Linked DNA regions of Canis lupus familiaris. The protein of the gene in region 2 interacts with the protein of the main gene of each other region in a pairwise test. Links are inferred from orthologs where the notes say so. Each region holds a gene or a part of one and is shown on either strand. Other genes may lie near its edges. The genes, in order: DPCD and RUVBL2.

Region 1 (16,772 bases), on a different chromosome or scaffold from region 2:
CCACGAGGGAGAGGTGGCATTCTCATGAAGCAGCCTTCCCCTGCTTCCTGCTTAGAGCTTGCAACTCCGAGGCTCTCCCTCCTGGGAGTTAGTTACCCAGCCCCGCATTGCCCCGGCCAGCCTGCTCACCCAGAGATGGAGCTTATACCTTGTCGCCGAAGGCTGTCAAGGAGACGACTGAAGATGCCCTGGTGAGACTGGCCATCCGGGTGAGTAAGCAGCACGTCCACATCACCACAGGTTGCCTTCCCCCGTCGGTAAGAACCGCATGCCACACATAGCAGCCCGGGGTTGAAGGCCTGAGCTGATTTCCGGACCTGGGGAAGAGCAGGGGGCAGTGGGGAGGGCCTGTGGACCTCAAGCCCTGTAAGGAGTGCCTTCCCATGGCAGTACAAGAGACTTCCCTGACCCAGGAGCCCATACTTCCAGCTGATACCCTAAGCCAATCCCTGGATTTGAGACACAACCCTGAGGGAAAGCCTCAAGGAGCAGATGCCAGAGGTCTACCCTGGGGAATGGCAGTTCTCCAGCTTTGCTAGGACAGAAGAGAAGAAAATGTGCTCTCACCACCAGACTCAGCCTGAAGAGAGATCTAAGAGGTGTATACTCAGATTCTGATGGAAGGCACTGATCTTTTCTTCTAGAGCTCTTTAAGAGCAGAGAGACACACCTTCTTTTGGCCCTTGCCCCAACCCATGTGCCCAGGTCTGTCCACTTAGGACAAAGCACAAGGTGCCCGTCTGCCAGGTCTCAGCAGCCCCAGGTATAGATTTGGAGCTAAAGGCAGAGTATGTGAGTTGGGGCTTGAGGCCTGAGCAGGTGGCTAGCAGGGTGCCCTGGCCCAGGCCTAGGGGGAAATGGAGCACAGGAATACAACTGTACCTATAGTAAAGGAAAAGAAAAAAAGCAAAGAGGAGGCAATTCTGAGCTAGTGCTCACACTCTTACTTGGAAGAAGGAGGCTCGGCATGGAGAGGGAGCCAAGAAAGAGGGGGCTGTCAGCAGAAGGATCATCCTCACTGAAGGAACTAAGCCCATTAGCCTCTGCCCCAGAGACACGGAAGCCTTTCATATGCAGATGGCCTCCACGCCTCTACCCCAGGACACTGAGGATTTCTGGGACCCTGGATACTTTGGCCAGGACACCTCAATTCTCCTGACAGGCCAGGCTCTTCTAATCCCCTCACTCCCTTCTTGAGCCTCCCTACAGGCTGGGAGGAGACCTAGGATGAGTAATCCCATCAAAAACTCCTAAAGCTGGAGCCCTTAAATGCCAGGTGGCAAGCCACCACTGTTCCAATGGGCTGGGGGCTGGAGGCTCACTGGGACATTCTCCGTGCCTGGACACCGTGGCTGAGTGACGGTGTCATCACTAGCACTGAGGCCTCGTGATGGGTGGACAAAAGAGCCTGTCCATCCATCCTGCACCAGCCTCATAGTCCAGTAGCCTGAATAGAGTTGGAGGCTGATTTCAACTAAGGTGGGCCAGGAACTCTATAGAATCCTACCTTATCAAAACCTGATCCCAAAGTAGCAGATCTTGCCCACAGCCACCAGCCCCTAATCCTGATACCAACTGAACAAATGATATATCTAACCCCAAATACATCCTAGTTTCTAATCTAGGTTTTTGATGAATTTAATCCCTAACCCAACTCTAACCTAATGTTGGCCAAATCTTATTTTTAGGACAATGACAAATCTTAACTAAAAGCAATACTAAGAAAACCCTACTCTTAATTTGGGCCTAACATTAATTCAATTCAACCTAGCTTTCCTCTGACCCCAAACCTGATTGTACTGGCACACTGTCTCTATACCAATTCTAACCCAAACTCTGAACCAGCCTCAGGTTGTGGGGAGTAAGGGAGGGTCCTGTGGAAGGTGTGTATGTCTGGAGATAGGAAACTTTGTACAAATTTTGGAGACAAAGGGTCCATAGTTTTCATTGGGTTCTCAGAAAAGTTTGTGAATCAAAGAACACTAAGAACCTCTGCCCTAACCTACTCTGACCTAACCCAGTTCAAACCCCAATATCCTAAAGTAGATCTGACCATAATCCATCTCTAATCCAGCCCTAACATTAACCCAGTCCTAACAGAATTCCAGGATCTAAGCCAATGCTTACTGACCCTAACCTAGACGCCTGGTGTTACAGCACTTCCTACTAAAGCCACCCACCCCTCCAGCTTCAGTTTCAATTGGTCCTTTCCCCACTGGTCTCAACCGCTGGTGTCCCACAGCTTCCTCTGCCTGGCTCCCCAGCTGAGGGGTCACGTGTTCTTGGCTTCCAGCCAGGCCCTGACCTTATACCAAGGCCTGGCTCTCCTTACTGTCTGCTCAATCTCTGTAGCCTCCTCCCGGGGTATGCGTTCCAGGAAGTCATCATAATGCTTCAGACCAATGGCCTGCTGGGTAGTCAGGGAGGCCTGGTTGCGGATGTCTTCTAGGGTCCGGTAACCCTGGAAAAAGAAACCAGATGAGGAGGCTATGAGCAGCTAGAACCAATGGAGAGGCAGTGAATGAGCACATACACAAGGCTTCCATCACCCCCAGATTCCAAGGAAGGCCTGAAGAAGGACCAACCCCAGGAGTGGTTGCATTTGTAATCAGTGGGACCCAAGAGGAGTAGGAAGCATGGGAGACACATCCCAATCCAGCCCTGCCACAACACTAAAATACTGGCTCATAAGTCCATCAGTCTGAGAGATTCTGGGCATCACCAGGTTGGGGAAACCACTGATCTGGACACATAGCCCTGAGGCCTGGTCTTCTTAGGAAGGCCCTTACTAGTCAGGGGGAGAGAAAAACACACTTCTTGTCTCTCTGCTTCTATCACAAATTAATGTCTTGGGGCTATCAGACAACAGGGCAGGTCTGGGAGCCTGGAGAGGGGTCTCCATGAGCCCTAGTCCCCCTCCTGGTTCATTCCCATCAGAGCACAGGGTACAAGAACTGTGGGGCAGGACCTCTAAGAAAGAGCAAAACTAAGGTGGGTGCTGGGACATAGTGTGACCTGTTGGTACCACATCTGGGCAGTTTTGGTTCCGGCTCCCCAGATGTTGGAGAAGAGCTCCAAGATAGGCACACTCTCACTGATATGGTCCAGCTTCCGCAGATGCCCGCTCTCCAGGATTTCTACGATTTTCTCGGCCATCCGCTTTCCAATCCCGGGGATACCGAAGGCCTCCTGGGGGAGGAGGAGGCAGAGGCAGGAAAAGAAGAGTGAGAGGATGGGAGGTGTACAGCCAGTGGTGGGTTAGCAGACTCCTTTAGCACGTATCTGAATAAAAGCCAGCTTGGTCAGTTGGCAACTGATGGCTGTGTAAAGCCTGGGCACAAGTGAAGATGAGAAGATTGGATGGGCTGGGCTGGGTCACTTGTCTTTTGGCTCTCAGAGGGATGGGGGTCAGCACGGGAAGCAGAGAAAAGACAGCAGTGTGACACTAGTCACCAACATCATGGTAACAACAAGGTGGGGGAGGCCTTTCTGAGCCAGGTCCTGCACTGCAGGGAGCATCACATTTGGTCCTCCCAGGAGTACCTGAGTCCCTCACTAATCTTAGTTCCTTTTCATTGCTCAAACAGTTTAAGTAACTTGCCTAGAATCACACAGTGAATGATGGGAACCAGAATTCAAACCGTGGTCTATTGGCCTCCAGCGTCTAACCTTTATAAAAACCTTTTACTATGGAAAAAAATCCACAGTAGAGAACAATATAATGAACCCCCAAGTACCTGTCACAGCTTCTATAATTATCAAGGTTCTGTCAATCTGCTTTTATCCATCTCCCTGTTTTATTTCTTTTGTGCAAGTCTCAGACATCATAAAACTTAAGCCCTCCCCACCTCCTCCCCACTTGTGACTGATGCCTCCACCAACCTCCAGCCAGTAAACAGAGAGCACCCCATCTCCCTGCATCCCCGCCCTGGCCCGCAGGTACCTGGTAGGAGGTGACAGGCTTGTGAAAGCTCTTGAGGGCATTGATGGCCTTGGCATAGCCCAGGGCCCTCCACTTGTCTCCTTGAACACTGTAGGCTTTGGCTAGCACTTCTAGCTTCTCTGTGATGTGAGGGTTGTGGTTGACTGCCTTCTGGCTCGAAGGTTGTGCACAGACCCACTTATCCAGGCCCTTAGGGGCTGGGCGAGGGTCATCATCTCCCTCAGGGTGGGTGGAGTAGTGGCCACTGATAAGGGCTTCGAGGTCAGCTGCGCTAACCTGGGTCTCTTCCCCATCACTGGTTTCAGCATCAGAGCCAAGCTTGAGGTAGGGAAAGAGAAGAGATGATAAATTCATGCCCCTGGCCCCCAGAAGAACTCTTCAAAGGTGGGGCTGAGTCTTCTAGTCAGACTCAGGAATGAGGCTGGGTCTCTTGATTCAGACCTGGGTCTCCTTAACTGTGGGGCCATGTTCCTTTAGGCTTCCCCCAGTGCCCAGCCCTAGAAGCCCCTAAATGGTAGGTGTGCCTGGGCAAATGCAGGCATGATGAGTGCTGGGAAGAGCCAAATGACTTCGCAATAGAGATCCTTCCTCTTTTAGGGGCCTGGGATTTTCTGAACAACCACCAGGCCCTCCCTGTTCCTGTGACCTAGTTTCCAGGGGAAGGGAGCTCTGAGGGCTGGGAGGCTCCTGACCTGAGCTTGGGTGCTCGGGGCCTCCTCTGTCCTCTGGGGAGGAGATACAGGCCTGGTGGCAGAACGAGGAGGAGTGAGAGCTGTCTTGAGCAGAGCCTCATGGGATCCTGGAGGAGCAGAAAATTCTTGGTCTGCCTTGCTGAGCTGTGGTTGGAGCCCTGGGTACCTGCAGGGATGGTGATGGCAAGTTAAGACCCCAAAGGCCTGGCTCTACCCCTGCTCCCAATCTTCTACTCTGAAATCTTGTTTTTTCTGATTAAAACAATAAAAGTTATTTTTAATAACCCAAGAAGAGAGTTCAAGATGCTGCCAGGAAACACTTGAGGAAGGATTGGGGTGGGGGGAGGTAGCTCACCTGCTGGGGATGCAGATGCTGAATCCTGCCGTGTCCACCAGCCTTCCTTCCTGCAGGCACAGGCTCAGCCAGGTGGACTTCACCAGCTGAGCACCCTGGGGCAGCTGGGACAGTCCGACGAGGCGGAGGGCTCGCTCACCGTCCATGCCTTCATCCACCACGATGTGAGTGAGCCCTGAGGCATGGGCAGCACATATCTGGCCACCATGCTGGATAATCTGCTTCTCAAAGAGTTCTGCTCGGGCTCGCCCAATGCCACTGGGCACAACATGTGCCCGCAGGGAGCTCAGCCACTCTGTGCAGGGGACATCCAGATGCTTATTGTCATGACTGATGGATATGATTCAAATGAACCCAAACAATCGTTTTCCTTCCATCCAGACAGCCAGCCTTCTGGGGATTCAGCCGCAAGCATACACTTAATTTCCCCATGAACCCTCACTTGATGTAAGGGGCAAGGATTTCAGTATGTCCTGTTCCCTCATGTAAACTAGAACAGTGCCTAGCATATTGTAGGTATCCTGCATATGGATTCATTTGATCATCTTTACATTCAAGTATTAAGAGACATCTACGTCACACAAGGCATAAGGCCATATGTCTTGCCATTACAGGCCTCACAGTGTAACAGATATTCCCCTCCCCCACCCTGCCACATGAGGTGTTGTCATTTATTTGTCAACTTGGCTGCAAAATAATGTAACTCTGGGGACCTGAGTTTCCCACCTTCAGGCAACCTCCTGGAGAGCAAAGGAATCTGCTGGTCATTTCCTTAGGGGCCAGAGAGTATTTTCTGATTAACAGAGGTCTAGGGATGGGTTAGAAAATAACACAGCCAAGTGGCCTGGCAAAGACTGGGGCCCAAGCCTGGTACAACAGATACACAAACCAACCTGCAGGCCATGGGTTGGCAGAAATCAGCTCTACTATCTGATTCTAGTCATGAACAATATAGGAAGCCTAGGGGTTCAAGTACATGAGGGCTCTGAGGGTGGATCTGCTCACCTCTTTCTTCTTCTCCACCTTCTTGCTTGGGAATCTTTGCAAGTGCTTTTGATGATGGATTGGCATGAATTTTCCTCCTTTTGGGAAATGCCTTCAAGATGCCCCCAGGGTCCATTGGGGTATTGGCCAAATCACGGCCTTTCAGTTTTAGGTTTGATCGGGCCAACTGTCATGTGGAAACCCAGAACTGAGGTTACCCAACCCTTTGCCTATGGAGGTGCTGTCTCTAACAACCGGACTTTGGAGGCAGTACCTCAGTTCCCCTAGGGGTCTCCCAAAACCCAGCTGAGCTTCAGCAATTTAGCCTAGCACTTACCAGCCTTTCAAAGTCAGAATACTGGGGGATATAAAGGGAAGAATGGGACTATTGAGGAACTCTGGAGGGGTACAAAATGATACTCCTCAGATGGTTGCTCTAAAGAGTCAGTGTAGTGTCTGCTCTGCAGCATCCCACTTTGAAAGGGCTTTACCAAAAGGGGATGCCAGGCTAGGAAATGGAGCTACATCTTTAGAAAGGGCTTGGGCTCCCAAGAGGATTGACGGACTTAGATGAATCTGCATTTAAATCCCACATGATCTTCCTCTACCCCATCACAGGCCCGCAGAGGAAACCCTCGGGGTGAGGGTGTCCGGGGGGCGGGGGAACGCCCTACACCTGCCCTGGTGGTGGGCCTCTAGTTCGGGGGAGCTCAGCCCCGCAGCTGCGGGGAGACGGGGCATGGCCACAGCAGGTGTTAGGGCGCCTTCCGAGGCTGGGGGGAGTCTCGGCCTCACAGCTGGGGGTGGAGACGACCCGCAGCTGTGGGGTCCCCGCCGCGTCCCCAGCTGGCGCGCACCCAGGGACTCCCAGCTGGGGGCCAGAGGAGGGCTGGAGGGTCTGGACCCTGCCCTAAGGACCGCTCCCCCCGCCGCGATTGGGTCCGCGGTGGTCGGACCCCGCGGCTCACCCGCGAGCCGGCCGGAGTAAACCACTTACCAGAGCAGCCAATGAGAGCGGACGAAGGGCGTGGCGGGTGGGAAAAGGGTGGGGGGAGGGAGGCCAAATGCCCGGAACACCTTCCGGGTCGGCCGGAAGTGACCGTAGGCGGAATGGTTGCCATGGCAGCGGCCGGTCGCGCGGCTGGCTGGAGGGAAGATGGCGGTAACCGGCTGGTTGGAGTGTCTGCGGACCGCCGAGAAGACGGCGCTGCTGCAGGACGGTAACTCGAGGCCCCCCACGAACTCCCTAGTCCTTTCCCCCAGGGCCCAGCCCTTCGGACTGGGGCCTCCGCGAAGGGCCTTCGAGCCTGGGACGGCCGAGCTGAAAGGGCCGCGGCTGCCAGACGAGGCCCGGTCCTGCTTTGGCAGATGAGGAAACTGAGGCCCAGAGCGATGACGTGACTGGAACACGCGCCTCTGGACACCTCCTAGTTCCCTCTACACCACTTCGCCCCGCTCTGAGTTCTGTTACTAATAAAAACTCCTTTCATATTCGTTATGTTATTTGCTCCAGACAGCTGTCCCAAGCAGCTCTTTAATTTCCACCCCATTTTACGGGAAGAGGAAACTGAAATTGAAGAGGGTTTTAGACCAGCCCTAGCCCGTTGTCCACTCGGTAGGGTTCTGTTGCTGAATGCAGCCTGGTGTCATTGAAGAGGTGGGGAGACCTGGGCCCTAGTTACTACTCTGCCATTAAATCACAGCTTCTTTATTTGCTTGGGCCTTATTTTCCTCGTCTGTAAAATGAGCTGGATGGGCAATCTCTGATGTCCTTTCCAGCTGTCATATGTTTGTAAGTGAACTTCTAAATATTCCCTGGGATCTATAGGGAAAAACAGCAAGGGCCCCAGCGCTGTGCCTGGGAAAGGTGGGCATAGGGGTAAGGAGTCCTGATTTTGTCTCACTCTAGGATTGGCGGGTGTAGGACCCCCCATTGCCGCAGAAGTCCTTTCCTGGACGCACTTGGCAGCCAGATGAATTAGGTCTAAATTCATGTAGCTTGAGGATACCAGCTGGAAGCACACATCCATCCATCCACCGGAGGAGGCCAATCAGGGAAGCTTGGAAATTAATATCACCTGCTCATTTGCTCGTTCATTCACGCAGCATTTAGGGAGGCTTTTACTATGTGCTAGGTTGTGTATTAGAGCAGAGAATGAAAAAAAGATATGTAAATAAATGTGTGTTAAGTAGACGTTGGGATTTTCTGTAAAGTGTATGAGAGCACGAAGATGGAAATGATCATCTCTTTGAAAGAAGACCTGACAGAAGAGGTAAAGTTTATGGGTCCTAAGGAATTAATGTGTTTGCTAAGTGTAGAAGAGGAGATGGCTGTTCTAGAAGGAATGACTCACATGTAAAAAAAAAAAAAAAAAAAAAAAAGGGCATGGAGGTGTGAAAGTATATGGCTGATTACTAGGGGAAAACAAAACATTTAGTGAGGCTGAAACAGTAACAGTCACCTAGCCATAACCCCCCACACTGTCAGGTACCAGGTGCTAGGATGCAAGGTGAATAAAAGTTCTCTTTTCTCAAGGAGCAGTGAGGAGAAATGGTGGGAAATGAAGGATTTTAAATAAATTGGGTATGTTGTGATAGACCTTTTATGCCAAGCTAAAGATTTTGGACATTATTTTCATAGGACAGTGGTGTCTGGTTTTATTATAAGAAATAGATAATATAGAATTTACCATTTTAATGATACAGTTCTGTGGCATGAAGTATATTCATATTGTTGTGCAACCATCACCACCATCCATCTCCAGCACTGGATCTCTTCAACTGAAACTCTGTACCTGTTAACACTAATTCCCCCATTCCCAGCCTCTGGCAACTACCATTCCACTTTCTGTCTTTATGGAATTGATTATAGCAGGAACCTCATGTAAGTGGAGACATACAATATTTGTCCTTTTGTGACTGGCATATTTCACTTAGCAACCACTTATTTCAACGCCCATCTATGTTGCATGTATCAAAGCTAAATAACATTCCACTGTATGTATGCATATGCCACATTGTATTTATCCATTCATCTGTTGATGGACAGATGCTTCCACTTGTTTAGCTATTGTGAGTAGTACTGGACTGAACATGGGGGTACAAGTATTCGAGTTCTTGCTTTCACTTCCTTTGGTCACAGGACAGTTCTTAACAAATATTACATCATCTAGGATTTTGTTAGGTTTTTTTGTTAGTAGCATCCACAACAATGCTGTTGGTCTTTTTTTCCCCCAAGTCAAATAATAATAATTAATGTTAAGTATATGGATTGGATACATCTTGTCAAACCTCTCCTATAGATTTACTTTCCTGTTGGGTATGTGGAGAATATTACCTCCCTCTCACAAAAAAAATCACTGCTATTGGTAGTGAGAACCCAATACTCTTGAATTTTTTTTCAGGAAGAATTGATGCTCATTATGGAAATATGAAAAATAACTAAAGTCACCTATCAACTACCATCTAGAGATAATCATAATTTACATTTTTTAAAAGATTTTATTTATTAGAGAGTGAGCAAGACTGGCAGAGGCAGAGGGAGAAGCAGACTCCCTGCTGAGCAGAGCGCCAGATGTGGGGCTCAATCCCAGGATCCTGGAATCATGACCTGAGCCAAAGGCAGATGTTCAACAAACTGAGCCACCTAGGCACCACCATAATTTACATTTTCATGCATAAACTTTCATATTTCTTCATGCATGTACAGTCATATATATATTTTTTTACCAAAGTATACTAATAAAATTATGTGTGTGTATATATATATACACACACATACACATATATAGCTATAAAGTAAATATGTGATAGAATAAAATACAGATAATTACAACTCCTGGGTAGTAACCACAAAAGAAAAACCAGTTGACTGTATAACAAGCAATTATTTGGGAAAGCCCACTTCAAATAAAGTTAAAAGGCAATTGAAACAATATTTGCAACATATAAAACACATGGTTAATATACATAAAGCTCAATCAGATTAGTAAAAAAAGAAGATGAATACCCAAATAAACTAAGGTCTAAATAGGTAATTCACTATAAACAATAAACCCTTGGAACAGTGTTCAGCCTTACAGATATTTAAAGCTATGCACATTATCCCAGTATGATTATTAGAGTATGGGTTTTGGCCTCAAATGAGCTTAAATCTAGGTCTGTCATTTCATAGCTTTATGAGCTTGGACAAGCTACATGACCTGTAAGCCTCCATTTTCCTCATTTGTGAAATACAGGTAATGGGGTCACATTGGATTATTGTGAGAATTAAATACAATAAAACATGTAAAATGCTAGGCCAATAGTAAGCACTGCATCCTTCCAGAACTCAATATGGACTCCAGTGGGAGAGGAGGTTCAGGCCAGAAACCTTCAGCTGCTCATAGGCAGCACTTTTTACCCCACTCCTGACAGGAAAACCCCTTCCAGCTCTATGAGCCATCCAAATGATTTGGAGTGGTATACCTAGGGACGTGCTGAGAAGCTCTACAAATTTGGGGCATGAGTTTCCCCAGCATACAAATTAAGAATGACTCAAGGGAACTATGTCCAGGAGAGTGAATTAAATGGGAAAATGGCTTGGGAGATCAGATCCAGTTGCAGATTTTAGGTAGTGACTCCTTTAACTGCTCAGGGTCCTTGGGACTCTTATTCATCAAGTATAGGTTGGGTAGCTGCACCCTGTTATTCGGCTCACTGAGGAGCCTACCTGTGTCAACTCACCCATTTGTAAAAATAGGGAAAATTACATAGTCACTTAAAAAATAATTATGCTATATAGGTGGAATTATAGCTATATAGATGGAAGGCTAGGAGACTCCCCTGGATTCTTGCAGGGGATTCTTGTGAAAGTTGAATCAGTGTTCATTCTCTCAATTAATATTTAGTTGAGCTCCTAATATGTGCCAGGTACTGTGCTTAGTGTTAGGGAAACCAAACCATAAAAGTGGGATAAAAACCCTCCTATAAAGACAGGCAGTAATCAATGTATATAAATCATACTGAGGCAAATGCTGTAAAGAAAATGTAAGAGGACTAACATGTGGCTGTGTGCTAGGAATGGCTTAGAGGCATGCAGAAGGCACAGCAATGGTGTGTCTAGAAGGAGTGCTTGGTCAGGAAACCCAGTTCAATATCCTGACCACATAGGCTTGGTTTTAGGAACTGAGGATAGAAAGCTAAATATGGCACCGTTCCTAGGGAGACAAGATGCTCTTAAAAAAAGTATCATACTATGTGATAAATACTCCACTATGGATATGAATAAAGCAGTAGGGAGATCCAAACGAATACAGAAGTGATGAATTTTGCCAAGGTGGCTAAAGAATTCTCAGTGGACTGACATTTGAGCTGGATTTTGAAGGGCAAGGAGTTCAGCAGGAGAATGGAGCTTTGCTGGTAGAGGGAACAGCAGAGCAAAGACCCCATTTAGAGAAAGCTGCATAAAAGAAAGGTGTCCCAGGGCATGTCTTACAGTGATGGTGGCAGTAGTTGGCAAGGAGCTCATGGGCAGCTCTGGGAGGGTTTCTTGTGCTCAAGTCCAAGGCTGTTGGTGTTTCCCAGGAAAATCCCTTGATGTGCAAGTTGCAAGGTAAGAAGAGGCTTGAGGGTAAGGCACTCTCTGCTTTGTGTGTAGGAAGAAGGAAGGTGCACTATTTGTTCCCAGATGGAAAGGAAATGGCCGAAGAATATGATGAGAAGACGGGTGAACTACTTGGTGAGTGACAGGGCCTCCCAAAGGCCCTGAGGAACACTTGGGGTAACCTAAAGCACAGGTAAGCAATTCCAGCCTTAGGCTTGAGGGAGGAATGAGCACCAAAGGTGGAAGCCAGGGAAGACTGAGGCCCTCAAGGCAAGATTGTTCCTGAGAATAATGTGAGGTTAGAGCTGGACACTGGAGGTAAGTTCCACCTGACCCCCAGACAAATGAGAGTGTGAGGAAGTCTTCTGTAGGGAAACTGTCGGGAAAGAACTGTAGACAGAAGGCAGAATTGGAAGTGATCCTCTCTGCCAGGCACAGTGAATGGAGGTAAGGGCAGGCTTTAACTGCAGTTGTATTGCTCGTTTTCTAAAGCCACAGCAGGAGCAAGCAAGCAGCAGCAGCAGCCAGTACTGACCTGGCCTCAGAGGGGGCGCTGTTAAATCTGACCCTTGGAAAATGTCTGAATCAAAGTGGATTGGGGGTAAAAATGGGGATTTTGCAAGATGGTTATTTTCATTCCTACAGCTCTTTTCCTCTAAGACTAGGCTCGTGAATAAGGGGTCCAGCTCAGATTTCTGAGAATTCCTTGATTTGTCCATCCTCTGTACCTAGGTATGCATATCAGCATTAACAGACTTCCCAGAGCTAGGTGGCTGCTGCTTTGACCCAGGGTCGGAGGCTGTCAGCAGTGGGAGTTGGTCTCTTTATTAAGTTCCACCTGAAATGCTAAATCCAATGGTGGAATCATGGGTTGGGTTATTTTCTTGTCATTATTCTTGACTTTAATTTCTTCCTGTGCCTGATCGACAGGTAGTATTGGCAAGGGAATTTTCTTTTTCCCTTTTTCTGACAGCTCATAAATGTCTAGAACCGACAACACGGATTACACTGGTTTGCATTTTCTTAGTCTCCAGTCTTAAAATGTGTGTCCTGCGCATGTTCAGTCGTAGAGTGAAGTGTTGATCCCTCCTTATTATGAGCTGCTTGGGCTCCAGTCCCAATTGGTTTAGTCTGGTGCTATTAAAAATCTTGATGTGTTTAGCATATGACACTGATTTGGTGGAAACCAATACAGTAGTAATATCCTCACAATGCATTGTAATTTATAGCGCTCCCAGGGGGTGACAGCCTTGGAATGCCTAACAGGGGCGAGCTTATGAAAGCAGAGGTCACGTGAGCTAACCACCACCATTGCCAGGCTAGAGACTAGCTGCAGTTCCTCCCTGCAGCTCCCAGCACCACACCTCTCCTCCACTCAGAGCAAATAAAATGCCTGTAGCTGCTGTGGCCATAAAAACAAGCAAACAAATAACTCCTGGCCTCTTAGTTGTGCTTGGACGTGAAATTAAAATGAAAAACAAGTTCAGGTACCTTCCTCTGTAGCATCCCACATTAACCTGTCACTCTTCTCAGCAGATGGGGAGTAGACAATCGCCTACAAACTCCTTTTTTCTTAGAAGCTGAAATGGAGATTCATAGGAGAACACTGGCTAAAGTTTACCTAATAATGATATTAATGTCATAACTTTTATTAAGGTACTATGCTAAGTGCTTTACATGAGTTACCTCACTGAATCATCCTCATTACAGCCCAATGAGGTAGGTACTGTTGTGCCCTTTTACAGTCGGGGAAAAAACAGAAGCTCTAAGAGGTTAAGCACCTTGCTCAGAATTCCATAGCTGGTTAGTTTCTGAGTTAGGATTTAAGCCTAAGTTTGCCTGGTTAAGAGCCCATGCTTTAATGCACAACAACATACTATTGGGAGTTGAGAATATTTAATCCTGCCTTCTTACTAAGTTTTGTTCTCCCCAGAATGACTGAAGCAGGGGCTGGTGGGAGCAAGACAGAGATGGGCAGAAGGAGCACCCCACTCAAACCACTGGGCCCTTTGAACAGCTGAACCTTCTCTTACTCATGTTCAACCACTCACCCTACCCCCGCCAACTGCCCTTGCAAAATTATTATTTATGTATAAACAGTCTCAGGGCCCGAACTAGAGCTTGAGCACTCTATGAAGTAAAATACGGACAGGGTTATTATGGCCATAAATGAGAATTAAGTTTCCATTTTTCCAGTTCACTATACAACTTTGGTAATTCTCTAAACTGGTTTTCTGTTAGAAAAACCCAGAAAATAATTTGCCAGTGGTGCATCTGGGTAGGACAGAGTCCTTCCAGTTGGTGTTAACAAGCATAGTGGTGTCATATTTTTTTCAACCGTCTCAGTGCTATTCATTCCCACCCCGCACAATGAATGCTGTATGTAGTCATAGAGGAAAAACCTGAAGGGCCCCATAACAATGATCGGAACATCAAACCAGCCCCAGAAGAACACAGCATGTCCAGGGGGGCAGAGGCTGAAGGGCAGGCCATCCCCCAGCGATTACATTTGGATTACTGGCTTAATCTGCTTTGGTATTTGACCGCCAGCCTAACCACCCCAGGCTGCATTTGGAGGATATTGAGCACTTTCATCCCTAAGCACTTCACTGGCTTTATAAATGACCCACTCGATTCCCTTCAGCCTCCTCAGGGATGGGACGTGGCAGCTGTTTAATAGCCACAGAGCAATGTTGCAGTGTTTTAGGGCAGAAAAGAAGAATCCTGCATCCAGTTTAAGCTGCAGGGAGTATTTAGGAAAGGGGAATGTAATTATCCGCATTGGAAGCAGGCCAAGGCTTGGAGCTTTGGGGAAAGAGGCCTTTAGGACCTCCACTTTCCAGCCCACCTGAAAGATGGGCCTTCCTTTAAGCAGTCTAGGACATCAGCCTGCTTCCTGCTGACTTAGGAAAAAAGCCCCCAGGCACTGCCTCCTTCATATATTCCTCATCAGACCCTTTAGGGTCATTGAAAGTCTCCTTTCCAAGGACTGGCCCTGGCTCAGCTGGGAAGAAAAGACAGCGTCCCAGGGAGCTACCCTACACACACTAGTTTGAGTTTAACATATAATCAAATCAGAGTGACAGCAGGTGGAAACAGTCCTCTGTTGCCACAGGAACTGTCCTTGAGTTCAGGAGCAAAGACAGGATGAGAAATACAAGACGAAGTGTATTTGCACGTGTGCATTCGAGCTTGTATACATGGAGAAAATAACAAGGACTTCACCAAAACTGTTTATTGGATCTTATAAGGGAATAAGTAGGGAGACTTTCTTCTACATTCTACCAAAGAATTTAATCCCAAGGTGTTTAAAAAGAAAGAAAGCAAGCAAGAAAGCGGTGAAACAGCCAGAAGGCTGGCCTCCAGTTAAGCGAGGTATTACATGAATAGATTTGGATATACTCCCTGGTCACAGTCCATTCACTTAAGAGAGTAGAAATATTTGTGAAAAAAAAAAAAGTTGCCTATAAAGCATATTTCCAAGTTTTACTCTTCCTTATTAATTTTCATTATAAACTTGGAAATGTGTTTCTAGGGAGAATTTTTGGCCCTAAGACGTAATAAAATCACACTGCAGAATGCAGCAGACCTTATAAAAGCACATATTCAAGGGAAAATTCTAATTTTATAGCACACTTTTGTGTTCAGCTTGCATGCCTTACTTGGAGCAGGGAGGGTATTTGGGTTTGGCATAGCTGCTCCAGAGGTCTCGAAGAAACCCATCCTAGAATCCTACTACAAGTCTCACCCCCTCAGCCCAGAAAGAGAAGTGGATGGGAGCAGCTGCAGCAGAACATCAGGCACTTTTTGACCCATTTAGCTCCTTCCAATGGCTGTGGGAAGGCTGCTGGCCTTTTGCAGCACTTAGGGTGCCCACCTAGAGGATGCCAATGTGGCAGGAAGGGAGAGGAGCCCAGGGGTTATAGCTGGAGGAGAGGGGAAGGCTCCCCTGCTGTCATGGCTGCACCATGAGGACATGGATGACTGGGATTCCTCAGTATTCTGGCTGGGGTTCTCAAGTAATGTCCACTTAACTAGTTTTTCACTTTTAATTTCTATACTGTATGTACCTTAGGGGAAAAAGAAAACAATTTATGTAAACATGTGGTTTGTAAAACAAGGTAAAGGGGATTCCTGGGTGGCTCAGCGGTTGAGCGCACCTGCCTTCGGCCCAGGGTGTGATCCTGGAGTCCCGGGATTGAGTCCCACATCGGGTTCCTGCATGGAGCCTGCCCTTCCCTCTGCCTGTGTCTCTGCCTCTGTGTGTGTGTGTGTGTGTGTCATGAATAAATAAATAAAATCTTTAAAATAAATTAAATAAAGCAAGGTAAAATAGAGATTATTGTTTGCATTATAAAAGGATGAACCTACTCTACAAAAACAAATTCATATGAGATCTTCTGTAAATAATGCAGTTAAAATATGGTATGAACCTAAAGTTTTGTTTAAATACAATTCTGGGGCTGTTGTTTTGAGCCAGGTAGAGCTGAAATGAGTGAATTCTTCATTTTGACTTTCTAAATCATGAGACAAATCTGCCTGTCAGCTTTCATCTTTTTAATTTACTTTTCCTTTGCACATTTGCAGAGAGAAAAAAATGCACCTCAACTCTGACTTGTTGGGATCTGCAATTTCCCTGTTACTAGTGGCTACCCTTTTCCTAACCAGCACACCTCTCCCTTGCTTGAAATCACACCTTCTTAACTCCACTCAGCTCCTTTCAGAGCTTTGTTCCAATCCCTTTGTTTGAGTGCCCAGAATACAAGCTTTCCAGGTTATCCAATATCGAAATGCTCTGCTGGGATTTCAGCAGTTGTGAGGTCCTGGTCAAATGGACAAAACTGGTGTAAAGGCCTGCCGCGCCTGCTTTTCTCCTGTTCCAATCATCTAACATGACATCATTGATTCAGCAGGAAAGAGCAGAGTCCCTTCCTTCCCTGTAATCCCATTGCTTCCTTCTCTCCTCAGTGAGAAAGTGGCGTGTGAAAAGTGCCTTGGGAGCCTTGGGCCAGTGGCAGATTGAGGTGGGAGAGCCAGCATTCCTGGGAGCAGGGAGCCTGGGCCCTGAGTTCATCAAGGAAAACAATGCCAATGTATGTGTTATCTGTCGGGTGTCTTGAGGGGGGCTGGGGTGGAGCCGGCTGCTGGCTTTGGAGGGCAAATACGATGTCTTCTTCACCACCTTGTCTCCAGTGTGCCTGCCTGGATACAGAG
Region 2 (16,158 bases):
TCCGCAGACCCAACTTCCCAGCCTTTGAAAACCTATGTTCTGGGGCTAAATGCAACAACGCCCTCCAAGCCCTTGGAGTGAGGAGTAGGTCACTCACTTGGGCGGGCCCCGGGGGTTACTGGGCTAGCTGACCTTGCGTTTCCGGCACACCAGGCTGGCAGCTGTGATAAGCTGGATGGCGTAGCGTAATGAGGTCTCCAGGCCGATGCGCGTCAGCACCGTGTAGGCGTCCTCACTCATTTCTACGTCTTCCTCTTCACACCTGTGGGCAGGTGGGGCGGGGTGGGGTGGGGTGGGGTGTGGTCAGCCAGGGCCAGGGCTCTGACTGCAGCAAACCCCTGGCTGGCGCTTCCCCCTGGGCGCTGTTGAAGTCCTGGGGGACATGTGGAGTCTATGTTCACAGAACCACAGAACGGCAAGCAAGAAGGGCCACTGAGGCATGGGCTGGACCTGTCACCTGGGCTTCCAACCCTCTCCAGCCAGGGCTCTTTCCCCAGTGTCAGCCACTGGCCCACCACCAGATCTGAGGCCATTGCTTGGTTGCCCAGCCCAGCCCAGCCCTACCTCCTGCAGGCCCAGAGACCTACCCCTTCAGACCTCACTGCCTCCACTTGCCAAATAGGGTGGGTGCCAGCCCTGCTTCTCAGACCCGTAGCCTGGTCCTGCCCCAGAACCCCAGGCGGCCCTGCCCATACCGGATGCGTAGGATCTGCTTTGTGTCCTTCTCACTGTAGGGAGAGGTGGAGACAATGAGCAGTCGGTCTAGTAGGTCGATGGGGATGCCATGGGGGCTCTGGTAGCTGGTACCCCGGATCCTGGGGAAGAGGAGAAAGGGAGGGTGGTCAGGGTGATGCTCCCAGAACCCAGGTCTCCATTTCCTCTACTTAAAATACCCCACCCACCCTCTCCATCACAGCCCACTCACTGGGCAAATATCACCTAACCTTCAGCTCATGGCTACTGTCATCACCAACTGTGCAGCTGTCCCCCAGCTGTGTCACCACCCCCGCCCACAGAAAACTGGGTTGGTCTGAGCTAGGTATCTATATCCAGGATTACTGAGTCAAGGTCTCACTCCTCTGCTTGACATAGAGCTCCACAGGTAAGAGACTGTGATGGTCCTATTCTGTGCTATTCGTGCTGCACCTGGCCCAGAGCAGGCCCTGGCACATGGCAGTGCCAGGAGAGAGTGGATTCTTGTAATTTGTGGTAGTGACATTCTATTAAGTGGGGGGGGGGGGGGGGGGCAGACACTCACTAGCAAATGATGAACCACTGCTTCTTGGAGATGTATGTGGTAGGTTCTTGTGAGCCTTTGGTCACAGTATTTTTGTCAACCAACCAATATATAACCTGGTTCTACGTGCTTCTGTTTAAAGACATCTTATTTAGCATACACTACTGACCCACTCGCATTGAACTCGTGGCAGACAGCACTCTACATCATGCCTGGAACGAAGCTCATCTGACACACACACTTTCTCTGTAAGGCACATCCATCCTCGCCTTGTGCCTGGGCAACTAGGGGGCCCTTTTAAATCCCAAATCATTAATAAAAAGCAGATAACACGGCATGAAAAGGACACTCAAAAAAAAAAAAAAAAAAAAAAAAAAAGAAAGAAAGAAAGAAAGAAAAGGACACTCATTTACAGCAGGTGAGCTGTAACCAGAAAGCAGGCAGGGCGCCAACTTGCTGGACCTTAGATTAGAGGGTCCACACCCAGTCACACAGGAGCACCAGAGTTGCCAGCACTGATGGGGGGGGGGGGGTAGGGGAGAGGGGCTTACAAATCCATTTAAGTGAGAGTACGTAGTAGACTCAAGAATACATTTTATGCAGATAACAGAGGAGCGACTTGGGTTTGTGCCCTGGCCCAGGATGTGCCCCGCGTGCAGCTGCCATACATTTACCCTCAGCTGGCCCCTTCCTATCTTCGTTAGGAGAGGCAACTCTGGCTCTGACACCTTCTCCATGCAACCTCAGGCACGTCACCAGGCCTTGCTATCCTCTGTAACGTGGGGCTGAGACAATATCCACCTCCTGAACTTCTTTTAAGGGTCAGAGCTGTTCACCCAGGAAACAAGCCACAGAAAATCTGCCCCTTTGTCCTCTGTAATGATGGCCACCCTCTACCGACCAGTTTTAGCTGCCACATGGCCACAGCACTGGAGAAGACATTCCTCAGCTTCCAGAGCAGCCAGGGTGGTGCTGGGCAGTGGGTGACGGTGGAAGTGCTAAGTGCACCCTCCAGGCCCCAGCTTCCCAGGGGAGCTGTTTACCACCCACTTCCTTCTCCCTGTCCACCAAAATACAGATGAGGCAGAGAAGAAGACCAGCTGGGACAACAGGACGAGAGGTGCTGGCAACACCCTAGGGCACAGATTCCCAGAACCAGGTGAGCTCCATGGCTCTAAAATTTTCCCCCGGCATTCTTAGGCCAAAAGCAATATTAAGTTTTGTTCTATAAGGTCGTTAGGGCTAAATGACCTAACTGTAGTGATGCAGGCAGTGTCAAACACATCTGTCTCTGTGCATCCCTCAGAAACTCAAAACATGGGACGCCTAGGTGGCTCAGCGGTTTGGCATCTGCCTTCGGTTCAGGGCGTGATCCTGGAGGCCAAGGATCGAGTCCCACATCAGGCTCCCTACATGGAGCCTGCTTCTCCCTCTGCCTGTGTCTCTGCCTCTGTGTCTCTCATGAATAAATAAATAAAATCATTAAAAAAAGAAAGAAGAAAGAAGAAAGAAAAGAAAAGAAAAGAAAAAAGAAAAGAAAGAAAAGAAAGAAAAGAAAAGAAAAGAAAAGAAAAGAAAAGAAAAGAAAAGAAAAGAAAACTCAGAACATCCCAGAGCACTCATGTGTTTTCAGCAGCATCCTGGCATGCCTTGGCACACAGTTTGGGAACTTGAGCCTCAAGGGCTACAGGAACTAAAATACAGAAAGAACATGATCCTCAACTTCCTGATGGAGCAGAACTGCCTGCCTACCGCCCTGAGCACCCGCCTGCTTTGTTTTAGGGAGAAGCTAAAAGACAAACTTTGTCTAGGCCCCCGTACATGGATAGCCTTGTGACACCAGCTAAGTCCATACCCTTCCTGACAGGGAACTCAACAAACATTCCCTGTTTACCCTGTGCCCATACCCACTACCTGGAGCACCCTGTTTCTCCCAGAGACCTCTGGGGAGGCCAGCAGCTGGCTCACCGGGTGATGCCTCGGTTGGTGGCCATGATGAGGACGGGCGCCATGTCACTCTCCAGGGCCCGATTGAGGAAGGAGAAGCTCTCAATGTCCAGCATGTGGACCTCGTCGATAAACAGCACCTGGGAGCCATTGGGGCATGTGTCAAACCTACCCAAGCCTCTTTCCTCCCATTTGCTCTCACTGTGAGCCGCCTGCCCTGGCCACACCCTGGTACTCACGCCAGGGATGATCTCAGCCTTGCCCTCCTCACGCCACTCGGCCACCTTGGCATTGATCTGCTCTCGGACTTCTGACTTGATCTCCCCTGTGTCGCCTGAAGGAGGTGGGGGTGACACAGGGAGTGTCAGAGAGGAGACAGGGACAGAGGGCCGGAGAGTGGACAGAGAGAAATGAAGATGGGACACCAGGGATAGAGGGAAGAGAGATCAAAACTGGAGTGGCAAAGTGACAGAAGGAGTGTCTCATTCGGTCTGCAATGTCCCAGAGAAGAAGACCCGAGGCAAAGAACCCAGGAAGAAGAGAGGGTAGGACATGCAAGCCCCCATTGGGACTATCCAAGAGGGAATGAGGGCAACAGTGTGGGTAGGACGAACCAGGGGGCTGTACTGGAGGTAGGAGGAGCAGTGTGTGCCATGAACAGAGCCAGCCTGCTGGGCCTCACCTGAGAAGAGAGCCAGGAAGCCCTGGGTGCGGGAGTTGATGACATCAATCTCATGCAGGGACACGGTGTGTACGACCTCCTTGCGTTTCTGGAGCTCTCCGTCTGGACACTGCACAAACTTGGTCTATGGGGCCAGGGGGCAGGGAGGGAGAGGTAAGAGTAAAGAAGAACATGAAAGGGGGCCCAAAGGGGCTGTCTGGGTGGAGAGTTGGGGGAGATTGGACTTCCTGGGGTAGAGCTAAGAATCCAGAAATCCCAGGTCCAAGAGGAAGTTACCACCAGGGCACTCGAGAGCACTGAAGGATCGGAGGTTACTGGAGGACCTCAGAAACCATGAGCAAACTGCAAAGATGAAGTGCCCTCCTTGTCCTGGTGGGTACAGGGAAGAACCAGGAGTAAGGGACATGGGGTGGGGCTACTGGAGGATCCGGACCCTCTGGGCCATGGGGGTGATAGAGGAGATGCAAACATCCTGGTGCCTGGAGTGAGCGGACCCCCAAAGCCCTGGCCCACCTGGGAGCCCATGGCATCATAGTCGCGAGCGCGTGTGAAGGAGCGGCCCAGCTTGGAGATCTTGCCTGTGGCCTTGTCGATGGTAATCACATCCCTGCATGTGGAGGAGGGTGGGAGTGAGGACATGAAAGGGCTCGAGATTCCCCCACCCTGACCACCTACCATGGCCCCCTGCCACTCACCCAGCCTGGACCTTGTCCTTAGTCAGGGACTCAATCATCTTGGTGCCCAGGTCGTATATAGTCTCCATCTCTGTGGTCTTGAGGGTCAGCTTGCCGACCTTAGAGCCCTGAGATGGGTGACAGGCCAGCCAAGGAGTTCAGAGGGGGCCCATTGTCTCCCCAACACAGCTTGGAAATGGGCATGACACAGGGATGCTTTAGGGGGCAATGGACTGTGGATATGTCAAAACTTAACATCCTATAAACTCTTTTAAAAATTATTTATTTATTTATTTATTTGAGGGAGGGAGAGGCACTGGTGGGGCTCAGTGGTTGAGAATCTATCTGCCTTTGGCTCAGGTCATGATCTCCAGGTCCTGGGATCAAGTCTACATCAGGCTCCCCACAGGGAACTTGCTTCTCCCTCTGCCTATGTCTCTGCCTTGCTCTCTGTGTCTCTCATGAATAAATTTAAAACATCTTAAAAAAAAAAAAAAAAAAAAAAGAGTGAGAGACGGGCAGCAGGGAGGAAGCGAGGAAGAATCTGACACAGACTCTGCACTGAGTGCAGAGACCAACGCAGTACTCAATCCCATGACCATGAAATCGTGAGATCATGACCTGAGATGAAACCAAGCTTCAGGGATGCCTGAGTGGCTTAATGGTTGAGTGTTTGCCTTTGGCTCAGGTCGTGATCCCAGGGTCCTAGGATTGAGTCCCACATTGGGCTCCCTGCATGGAGTCCGCTTCTCCCTCTGCCTGTGTCTCTGCCTCTCTCTCTCTCTGTGTCTCCCATGAATAAATAAATAAAATCTTTATTTAAAAAAATAAATAAATAAATAAAAGAAAAGAAACCAAGCGTCAGACGCACTACCAAGCCACCCTGGTGCCCCAACATCCTGTACTTTCACTGTGTGCAGCTTATTGTTTGTTGGTTGCTCAACAAACCGATTACTAAAAACCCAGGAAGATAACAAACAACAACTTACCTAAAAGATAAAGTCTTTAAGAACAGCAACATGGACTAGAGGGCCCTGATGTGGGGAGGTGGGAGTGTGCCACACTCTAACATTCCTTGTTTTATGTCCACGTAACTTGTGTTTTTTTTTTTTTTTTATTAGTCACAAACCCAGAAAACAGAGCTAAGCTAAACACAGCTAAGAAAACAAAAATACCACACTTTCTCCCCACAAAATAAGCACAGTCAGTGTCTTCCAGCACATCCACTTGTCTCTTATTTCTAGTGAGCTGTTCTTTTTGTAGGGAAAGATGGCAGGACAAAAGGGCTGGAATTCAGGAGGAAGAGAGAGATGGTTTTGGTTTTACATTTTTATTTTATTATATTTTAAAGATTTATCGATTTATTTACATAATCTTTACATCAGAGGCACCCGGGTGGCTCACTTGGTTAAGCATCTGACTTTGGCTCAGGTCATGATCCCGGAGTCCTGGGATCAAGCCCCAGCTCTGGCTCCCTGCTCAGCAGGAAATCTGCCTCTCCCTCTCCCTGTGCCCCCACTTATGCTCTCTATTAAAAAAAAAGAAAAGAAAAAAGAAATCTTAAAAATGGGCAATCTTGACTAATGCATGGGAATGCATTGCTGGGTGATAAAACCAATGACACCCAAGAAGTGAAAACAGGCAAGGGCAGCCACCCTTGTGAGGATGTGGGGTGTTGTAGAAAGAGCAATGAGGTAGGGATGGGAGCTGGCAAAGTTCTTTTTTTTTTTTTTTTCTTCAAAGTTCTAATTTCTTATCTTGGTGGTAGTTCTAAGGAGATTTGTTTTATAATAACATACTAGACCATTCGCTTATTTTACGTGCTTCTTTACATCTGTTGCAATTTACAACAAAAATGTTGGGGCATTTGGGTGGCTCCGTGGTCGAGCATCTATCTGCCTGTGGCTCAGGTTGTGATCCCAGGGTCCTGGGATCGAGTACCGCATCAGGTTCCCTGTGAGAAGCCTGCTTCTCCCTCTCCCTATGTCTCTGCCTCTCTCTCTCTGTGTCTCTCATGAATAAATAAATCTTAAAAAAAAAAAAAAAAAAGTTAAAATTCTTAGCTGAAAAAAAAAAAAAGGGAGCAAATCACCATGACCATGTAAGCTGGATAGGAAACACCTTTTAGGGCTAAGCTGCATAAAATCTCACAGAACAGGTTCTTAAGCCTAACCATTAACTGTGAGATGAACACTAGGTGTTTACCATGACATGTTGGCAAACTGAATTTAAATTATTTTATTTAAGATAAATTTTAAAAAAGAAAAAGAAAGAAAGAACGAACTGTGAGAGGGACACCTGGCTGGCTCAGTGAGAACAGCATGCAACTCTTGATCTTGGGGTCATGAGTTTGAGCCCCGCATGTTGTAGGCAGAGATGATTTAAATAAATAAAAGTTAAAAAAAAAATTTAAGTGTGAGGAACTTCCAGACCTTCTCTGTCATGACACCACTTGCTTTTAACGGCTCAGGGCGTCACTCACAAGTGGATAAACTGGGGCGCCTGGGTGGCTCAGTGGTTTAGCGCCACCTTCAGCCCAGGGCGTGATCCTGGAGACCCAGGATCGAGTCCCGTGTCAGGCTCCCTGCATGGAGCCTGCTTCTCCCTCTGCCTGTGTCTCTGCCTCTCTCTCTCTGTGTCTCTCATGAATAAATAAATAAAATCTTAAAAAAAAAAAGTGGATAAACTGTCAATGACCCCCACAGTACACAGTAGAGGGCTCTGACCTGCAGCTCAAACATCCAACATCCCTTGGGTTCTGGCACCCCATCCTCCAGCCCTGGAGGTGGCCCAGGCTCAGCAGCAGACTCACCGTCCCTGTGGCTGGACGGTCAATCTGGATCTCCACCACTTCCCCTTCAATGATCTCAGTCTCCTCCCTAGGCGGAAAACGGATGTGAGCAGAGAGCCCGAGGCCCAGGCCCTTGCAAATGGCTAACTCCCATGAGCCCTTAGGCATGGGACAAGCCGGACAGGGCAGGCAGGGGTCATCCCAAGGCCACTGCAAGCTAACTCCATCCCCCACACCGGGTCCTGTGCTTACTTGATTCGAACGCCAATAGAGCGCCGGAAGGCCTGGGTCAGTGCCTCTGTCTTACTCATCTCCAGCGAGAAGATCTCACTGCCCGCGATGGCTGTGAACGGGGTGTCAGGGCCCAGGGCCTGTGCCATGCCTGGGGAAGAGGTGGTCTGGGTAAGTGGGGACAGCCTGGCACCAGGTCCCCAACACCTATTCTGTGTCAAACCAGCTCTTCTCCCTCCTCAGGAAGTAGCGTAGGTGAAATACACACAGTGTTGGGGGCAGACAGGGAGACATGGAGAAAGCCAGGGATGGCGGGCTACATAGAAGACCTGGACTCGAACCCCATGCTGACCAGAAGGTCAATTTCATGACCCTATAACCTCGCCAGGGCTTTAGAAGTTGTTTAGCCTTTTAGGCTTGGGGGTAATGAGCAGGAATCAAGGCCAAAAGAGGACTGAAAGAGTAGTTAAGGGTGGTGGCTCTAGAGCCAGACCACCTAGGTTCGAATCCCGGTTCCACCGCTTAGCACCATGTGATCCTGAGAAGTCTTGTCTGTTTGTATCTCTGTATAATGAGGACCACAACAGAACAAGTGCTGGTGTGGGACCGCACCTGCAGAGAAGCGATCTGGGGGTGGCAGGCATGCACTGGTGCTCAACCATGAACCCATCACATGACCTGTAACCAGCCCAGGGACAGGTCTTCTGTCTGGCCTGGGGCTGGCCGGCAGACACCGGGGCTGACCTTGCAGTCACTCTAAGCACCACGTCAAGTCTCACAGACAGGAAGTCACTGGACCCTTCTGACCAGTAAGAGGTGGAAATTCTTCCTGGTCCCCTTTCCAGACATGTGCCACACTCTTGCCTGGATAGCCCCGTCCCATATTGCGTGTCCAGAAGACTCCCAGACACCCTGCAAGTCTTAGCTCAGGGCCTGACTTCTCTGGGAAGTCTCTCCTGACAACTGCCATATCACATCCCTCCCTGCTCCCTCATGTCATGTTAATGTCCCATAGTGTCGCAGCAGAATGTAACCATATGATTAAGTTCTAGTCAATAAGATATAAGAAAAAGTATGGGGCAGATATAAGAAAAAGTATGGCTCAGCAGTTTAGTGCCACATTCAGCCCAGGGCCTGATCCTGGAGACTTGGGATCAAGTCCCGCGTCAAGCTCCCTGCATGGAGCCTGCTTCTCCCTCTGCCTGTGTCTCTGCCTCTCTCTCTCTCTCTGTGTCTCTCATGAATGAATAAATAAAGAATCTTAAAAAAAAAAAAAAAAAAAAATTATGTGGGGGTCCCAAGACAGCTGCTTAACGGGAGCTAACTACTTTTAAAGGTAGGGAGGTACACCCTCACTGCAAGATCTCTTTCTCCTTCCTCCTACATGGGAGTATGGATGGGAAGGCCTGTGCTCACTTCGGCAACACATATACTAAAAAATGGACAGGAAGGCCGAAGCTTAGGCAACCCTCTTGGAACATGAGGTGACTCTGCCATAAAAGTACAGAGGAGGGATCCCTGGGTGGCACAGCGGTTTGGCGCCTGCCTTTGGCCCAGGGCGTGATCCTGGAGATCCGGGATCGAATCCCACATCGGGGTCCCGGTGCATGGAGCCTGCTTCTCCCTCTGCCTATGTCTCTGCCTCTCTCTCTCTCTCTCTGTGACTATCATAAATAAATTAATTAATTAATTAAAAAAAAAAAAAAAGTACAGAGGATATTGAGGTAGAAAGGTGAATACTTGATGGAACAGCTCAACAAGCCCTAAGTGGCTTATGTTCAGATTCTTCTATGTGACAGAATGAAGCAGAGCATTTAAGTCTCTGCCATTTTGGGCTGTCTGTTGAATGTGGCCGAACCCAACCTTGATTTACACAGAAAGGATTAACTGGCAGGGACCAGAAGAGCTCCTGCCCTGAGAGGCCTCTTACCCATGGCGATAGCCGTCTTCCCAGTGCCCGGCTGGCCAGCGATGAGCACAGCCCGCCCAGCGATCTTCCCTTCCCGGATCATCTCCAGCACAACACCAGCTGCCCGCCGGGCTGCCAGCTGCCCCACCATGCCCTGGGAAGCCTGTAGAGTGGGAGGTGAGAGCACACCATGTGACTTCCTACTGGACTGCCACCCCCATTTCTACCACCTCCAGACCAGTGAGACGAAAGGGCACGATGCTGGTTAGGGCCTGGGAAAAGCAAAAAAAGCCTTTTCCACCCCAAATTTTTAGGACTAATAAAACTCTACATGTGGCTAAATTTTATAGATATGTAGCCAAAGGTCTGGGAGATCCTAACATGCCCAGGGACCCTGGGAACCCTGTACATCCATGGATCAGCCTTCCCAGCCCACTGCCCTCAGTTCTACCTGCCGTGGCTCCAAGGCATCATCCAGTCCCAGTCCCCGGATGTGGGAGTGCGCACCTGTGGGGGGACGGGGGAGAGGGGGTGGAGGAGGAAGAACCAGAAGACACGTTTACCAGCCAGCTCGTGATAATGTGTGGCCTGAGGAAAGGGGCAGCTTCTCTCAGCCCTGGCTTCCTCCTTGGTCAAATGAGGGGGGGTGGGTCCATGTCTCTACGTTACTGGGAGAATAGCTAGTGGGGGTAAATGCTCAATAAGCTGGAGCTGCCCTTAGGATACAGCAGAGGGAACCAGAATCACCCAGATCTGGTTAACCACATCAGATCAGGATCTAACCGTGACCACTAACAATCACAAACACTTTATGTTTATAGCCTAAGTGGCCCCACAGATTCTTATTTTGTGCCACGTGACCCTGAGAAACAGGAGTCCCAGCTATTACCACCCAGGAGTGCTTCTGGGGTTCAAAAAACTCCTCAGGCCCTCATCAACACAAATTCGAGAAGGGAGACCAGAGAGGTCAGGCCCCTTGCCCAAGACCACACAGCCCAGCAAGAGGTAAAGACGTGGGATTTCAATGTTTCACAATGGACTAGGGCTGGGCAAATGATAGCCTATGGCTCAGTCGCTTGTTTTTGTAAATAAAGCTTTATTGGAACACAGCCACACCCCCTAACTTACTTACTGCCTGTGGCTGCTTTCACACTGCAATGGGAGAACTGATGATTTTTCTACAGAAGAGATTTACTGTCTGGCCCTTTGAGAAAAGATTCGCTGACCCCAGCACTAGATTTTAAGCATCCTGAGGGCTGGTACTGGGAGTAGCTGGTGTCTACTGGGTCTTTTGATAGCTGAAACCGTGTTGGCCCTTGCATGCTGAGGGTTTTTTATCGATGACCTGATGGAATCTTGTATCAATACTGATGAGGTGAACACCTTTGCTCCATTTTGTAGATAAGGACTCCAGGGCAGAGAGCAACTAGCCTCTTGCAGCAAAAGTGGTCCCCAGCACCGGGCCTCCAGAACCCACGTTGCTAGCCTCTTTACTTCTGGGCCTCCCTTATAGGCAGAGTGAACAAATGTGCACAAAGGAGTATAGTTTCCTTTTCCATGCAGGTAAAGCTCTTTGCGGAGGCTGCACTCTGTTGGCCTACTACACCCCAACTTCGTACTCCTAGATTTATGGCCTACTCTGCACATTGAGCCAGGACCAGTGGTTTGACTGCTCTGAGTCAAAGTTTCCTCCATTAAATAAAATACAGGAGAGCAGTCACAATGCACATCTGCTGGGATGGCTGTGAGAACCTGGCAGGACATGAACTCATGCATTTGCTGGTTATCTGTTGAGCGCCTGCTCTGCTGGGGCCCCTGCTAGGGACACAGCCAGAAACAGGCCAGACCTGGTCCCTGCCCTCATGGAGCTAATGCCAGTGTGCGCTGAGGGCATGGGACATTCAGTTCTAGGCCAAGCCCAGTAGGCACTCAGCAAGCAGACACTTTTATGATTTCCAAGCAAAATGCTAGGACACCCAGGAGCCTAACTGGGGTAGCCAAGCCAGCAGAAGTGCGGCCTGGGTTGCATCTCAGGTTGCAGCCTAGCAAGGTCCTCCATGTGCCATCTGAGCCCACTCTGGCACTCAGCCCTATCTCCCCCCATCAGAGAGGGGGATGCGATGGCCCCTGGGCTGGTTGGCTCTGTGGGGTGCAGGCAGGCTCTAGACCCTGCTCACTCACCAATACGCTCAATTCTTGTCACATCTCGGATCTCTGGGACCTTGGTTGTGGCCGTCTGGGGATAGAGGAAGACATATCAGAAAAGCCCTTATGATCCCAGTTTTCACCAACTCCTCTGTCCCTCCTGCCCACATCCCTAGAGGCAGTCCTTTCCATTCTTATTCCCCACAGGCAGGCCAATAACCCAAACAACTGTCACTCCCACCCTTCTTACTTGTCACCACTAACGCTGGTTGGTTGACCCCAGTCAACAGTGTCCCAGAAAGACAAGGACCGTGTCTGTCTCGTTCACAGCACTGTCCCCAGGGCCTAGCACATTATTTGGAGCCCAGAAATTATTTCTGAAGGAAGCAGCTCTCCCCACTCCCATGACTGGAAGGACAAACACCCAATGCAGAGCAGCAAACTGGTCCCTGATTGCCCAGCCCCCTTGTACCACATTGCCTGAATCTGTCACTAGGCCCTTGCACACCCATGTCCCAGAGTCCAGCCTGCTCTCCTCACTTCCCTCACTGAATCAGATCTAGTGACGCTCACGAAGGAAGGCCCCCCAACCACTGCCCCGGCCTGACTCCTTCCAGGGTCTCTGGAGGTCTGGACAGAACAAAAGGTCTCCCTTGGGAGCCCAATCTCCCTGTGTAATCTCACATTTAGAAGGGAGACTATCAGCTCAATATTATCGGCTCTGGTGGATGTGAGTCCCACGAAGGGCACAGCCCACACCTTGCTTGTTCACTTGGGGTTCAATGTTAGGGTTTGGATGAATGATGTACTGAAGTGTTGAGCTGATATAACAAGCAGGTACTGAGCCCTCTGGTGTTCTCAGCTCTCTGAAAAAAGGAGCCAGCCACCATCTCTTCTCATATAGGGGAGAGAGATGAGTAAGTACCCCCAGGACAGTTCGAGAATCCCCAAGTGTTCACAGTGGCATTATTCACAAGAGCCAGAAGGTGGGAAAACCCAAAATATCCATCAATGAATGAATGGATAAACCAAACGTGGTATGTAAACACTTGGAATATTGTTCAGCCATAAAAAGAAAGTTCCAACATATGCTGTAGTGTGGATGAACCTTGAAAACATACAAAGTGAAAGAAGCCAGACACTTAAGATCACATATGGCATGATTTCACTTATATGAAACATGCAGGATAAGTGAATTCATAGACTGGAAGTACATTGGTGGTGACCTAGGGCCACGGGGTCTGAGAGGACTGGGGGATGATGGCCAAGAGCTACAGGGTTTCCCTCTCAGGAGGATAAAGATGTCCTGGAGGTGTTAGTGTACAATTGTGAACATACTAAAAGCTGCTGAACTATACATTTTAAATGGGTAAATTGTAGGGTGGCTGGGTGGCTCAGTGGTTGAGCATCTGCCTTTGGCTCAAGTCCTGATCCTGGGGTCCTGGGATTGAGTCCTGCACTGGGCTCCCTGCAGGCAGCCTGCTTCTCCTTCTGCCTAGGTCTCTGCCTGTCTGTCTTTCATGAATAAATAAATAAAATCTTTACAATAAATAAATACATGGGTAAATTATATGGTATGTGAATTATATCTCACTAAGGCTGTTAAAAATCTGGGTGGTGTGGGGATCCCTGGGTGGCTCAGCGGTTTAGCGCCTGCCTGTGGCCCAGGGCCTGATCTTGGAGTCCCACATCGGGCTCCCTGCATGGAGCCTACTTCTCCCTCTGCTTGTGTCTCTGCCTCTCTCTCTCTCTCTGTGTCTCTCATGAATAAATAAATAAAATATTTTTTAAAAAATTAAGAAATCTGGGTGGTGGGTCCTAGGCTGTATTGTTTGCTGGCACTGGAGTATCTGATGATTTCTTTCTTTTCTAAGTTTTATTTATTTAAGTAATCTCTATATCCAACATGGGGCTCGAACTCAGGACCCCAAGATTAAGAGTCACCTGCTCCAGTGACTTAACCAAGCGCCCCTCACACTTTCTAGTAAGGAAAGGAAAGCCTAAGAAGCCAGCCTGCTGACCCAGTCCCTTGGCCACCTGCCCCCAACCACAGGTCTCTCTTCCACCAGGAGAGGAGATGTAGACATCCAACCCACTGGAAGCCTCCAGTCTCTGGAGCTTAGACCATGGCCGCCACATGGTCACAAGCTTCCCTCCCACCTACCCTCTCCTCATAGAAGGCTGGAACCAAGACCAACAGACACTGGCCCCAAACACTAGCAGAAGAATCAGAACAGGGGTGTCTGGGTGGCTCAGTGGGTTAAGTGTCTGCCTTTGGCTCAAGTCATGATCCTCAGGTCCTGGGATCAAACCGTGCATCAGGCTTCCTGCTCAGAGGGGACTCTGCTTCTTCCTCTCCCACCTCCCACCCCCGCTTCACTCTCTCTCTCTCTCTCTCCCATAAAATCTTAAAAAAAAAAAAAAGACTCAGAACTCACCCTCACATATCACGACACATCCTACCAGACCCTACTTGTGGCAATAAATGGGCATGGGTCCAGAAATCTTAACCCTTAGCAATCCCACACAAACAGACCTGCCTCCTACAAGGCCTTCCTTTGCACCAGAAGCCTCTCCTATGCTGTGCTACTCACTGACCCCATGGTAGCAGAGGCCATTTTATTTTATTAAGATTTTTTGACAGAGAAAGCGCGCACGTGCTTGCACTTGAGCACACAAGCAGAGGGAATAGGAGTGGGAAAAGCAGGCTCCCCACTGAGCAGAGAGCCAGTAGGCAGGGCTTCATCCCAGAGCTGAGATCATGACCTGAGGTGAAGGCAGATACATAACCGATGAGCTGCCCAGGTGCCCCAGCAGAGGTCATTTTAAAACTCAGCACCCACTGTCCCCTCAAACTTCCAATGCTTTATTCATGTCCATGAGAACTGGGTCTTAGGAATGTGGCCATTACCTTTCCTCTTCTGCTTCTGCTCCCCTATCAACCCTCTTTGCCATGACAGCAGCCACAGACTCAAATTCCACACCTACCAGTAACTACCGCCCCACTCCTCCCCCATACCCCCCCACCAGGGTCACTATGGGAACCAAGGTAGCCGGAAGTCCAGTTCAACCCCAAGTTAAGGCCACATCCCTTCTTCATTCAGATGTTTCTTAAGCAAGTGCCAGGACCGGTGTGCCTGATCTCTCCTTTAGTGAGCTCATGCATTCATTCATTCCAACATTCAAGAGTTAACCTACTGAGCATCCACACTGAGTACAAGGGGCTGAAATATTAAAATGGCCAAAACAATCTCATTGCAAGATCCCCAGCCTCTGGACCCCCAGCCCACGGACACCCTTCAAGTTCTCAACACTCTTGTGACTCAAGGCTAAGCAACTTCACACTCTGGACGGATGTCCACCTGAGCGTCCTCCTGTACTCAGGTGCCACTCATGCCATCAGTAACCCAAGACTCCTTGAATGGCTTGAAGCCTAAGTTACTACAACCCTCATCACTTTAGGGCAAAAGACTGCAGAACTGGCTGCTAATTGCACCCAGAGGATTGGAGGCTGGAGCTCCTATAACATGACTGAGTCAGATCAGATTACTGAGATCTTGAATATCCATTTGATTCCAGGATACCAACCCCTTTACTCCTCCCTCAGACCCAGGAGTCCGGGCCCCAGCACCCTCCTCTCTCGGACCCAGGGGTCCAAGCCCCCAGTACCCTCTCCTCCCCTAGACCCAGGGGTCCGGGCCCCAGCCCCCTCCCCCCTCAGACCTAGGGGTCCGGGCCCCCAGCACCCTCCCTCCTCCCTCAGACCCAGAGGTCCGGGCCCCCAGCACCCTCCCTCCTCCCTCAGACCCAGAGGTCCGGGCCCCCAGGCCTTCTCCTCCCTCAGACCCAGGGGCCCAGGCCCCCAGCACCCTTCCCGTTCAGACTCGGAGGTGCGGGTTCGCTCCTCAGCCCTCCCCACGCCACTTACCACGGTTGCCATGATGCTCAGCAACCGCCAATATCCTAGCGGAAACGGAAACGCGGTAAGAAGAAGGCGTTCTGGTCCCTCTAGACGGCCAGGTCCTCCAAAGAGCTCGACGTTTCCTCATAAATATGCAAGCTCTCCTTGTGGGGGCGTGGCGTCACTTTTTAGGCCCCCCTCCTCCGCCGAGACTGAGCCGGCTGAGGGGTGCCCGGAACTCCTGGGTCCGTTCGCTACGCCTCCTGGCCCCTCCCCTTACCCAGGCCTCCTTGCTGAGGCTGATTGCAAAATTCTTAAGACTTCTTTGGGCAACCACACGTCCCCCACGCTCCCTCTCCTCCCTATTCCACCCTCGCCTCTCCCAGCTAATTTTGGGGCCAAGATTAGGATTGACAGAGTTGAGGGCCAATCGGCTGGCACGGCGAGCAGCCACGCCCCCTAAAGCTCTCATTGGCCGCCAAGGTGGCGGGGCGGAGCAAACCCTACTTTGTCCACCAAGAGGAGACGCGGCAGCCCCCTCCCCCGGGCAAGGGCCAATGGCTGTGGTCGGGCGGCGGGCCCCGCCTCCTGGTGGCCGCAAGATTTCACTGCAGGGGCCCCACCGGACTCAGTGACGCTGC

Evidence for each region.
Region 1: the proteins of RUVBL2 (region 2) and DPCD interact in binary tests that used the Homo sapiens proteins (3 or more experiments, as listed by UniProt). The two-hybrid records come from large-scale screens. The link is inferred for Canis lupus familiaris from reciprocal best matches to the Homo sapiens genes RUVBL2 and DPCD.

What each region holds. Positions count from the first base shown.
Region 1 is NC_049249.1:14,380,791-14,397,562, forward strand, and holds the start of DPCD (protein DPCD), read left to right. Parts: upstream 1-7,050; 5' UTR 7,051-7,130; coding exon 7,131-7,194; intron 7,195-11,612; coding exon 11,613-11,693; intron 11,694-16,526; coding exon 16,527-16,651; intron 16,652-16,772. Other genes in the region: POLL (DNA polymerase lambda), read right to left, coding at 149-317, 2,333-2,461, 3,016-3,189, 3,944-4,261, 4,636-4,801, 4,991-5,285, 5,996-6,110. UniProt on the Homo sapiens protein: May play a role in the formation or function of ciliated cells.
Region 2 is NC_049222.1:108,059,126-108,075,283, forward strand, and holds the start of RUVBL2 (ruvB-like 2), read right to left. Parts: upstream 15,895-16,158; 5' UTR 15,557-15,894; coding exon 15,545-15,556; intron 11,708-15,544; coding exon 11,653-11,707; intron 9,979-11,652; coding exon 9,923-9,978; intron 9,635-9,922; coding exon 9,493-9,634; intron 7,714-9,492; coding exon 7,584-7,713; intron 7,420-7,583; coding exon 7,353-7,419; intron 4,669-7,352; coding exon 4,562-4,668; intron 4,474-4,561; coding exon 4,380-4,473; intron 3,991-4,379; coding exon 3,867-3,990; intron 3,519-3,866; coding exon 3,424-3,518; intron 3,325-3,423; coding exon 3,206-3,324; intron 816-3,205; coding exon 696-815; intron 263-695; coding exon 133-262; intron 1-132. UniProt on the Homo sapiens protein: Possesses single-stranded DNA-stimulated ATPase and ATP-dependent DNA helicase (5' to 3') activity; hexamerization is thought to be critical for ATP hydrolysis and adjacent subunits in the ring-like structure contribute to the ATPase activity.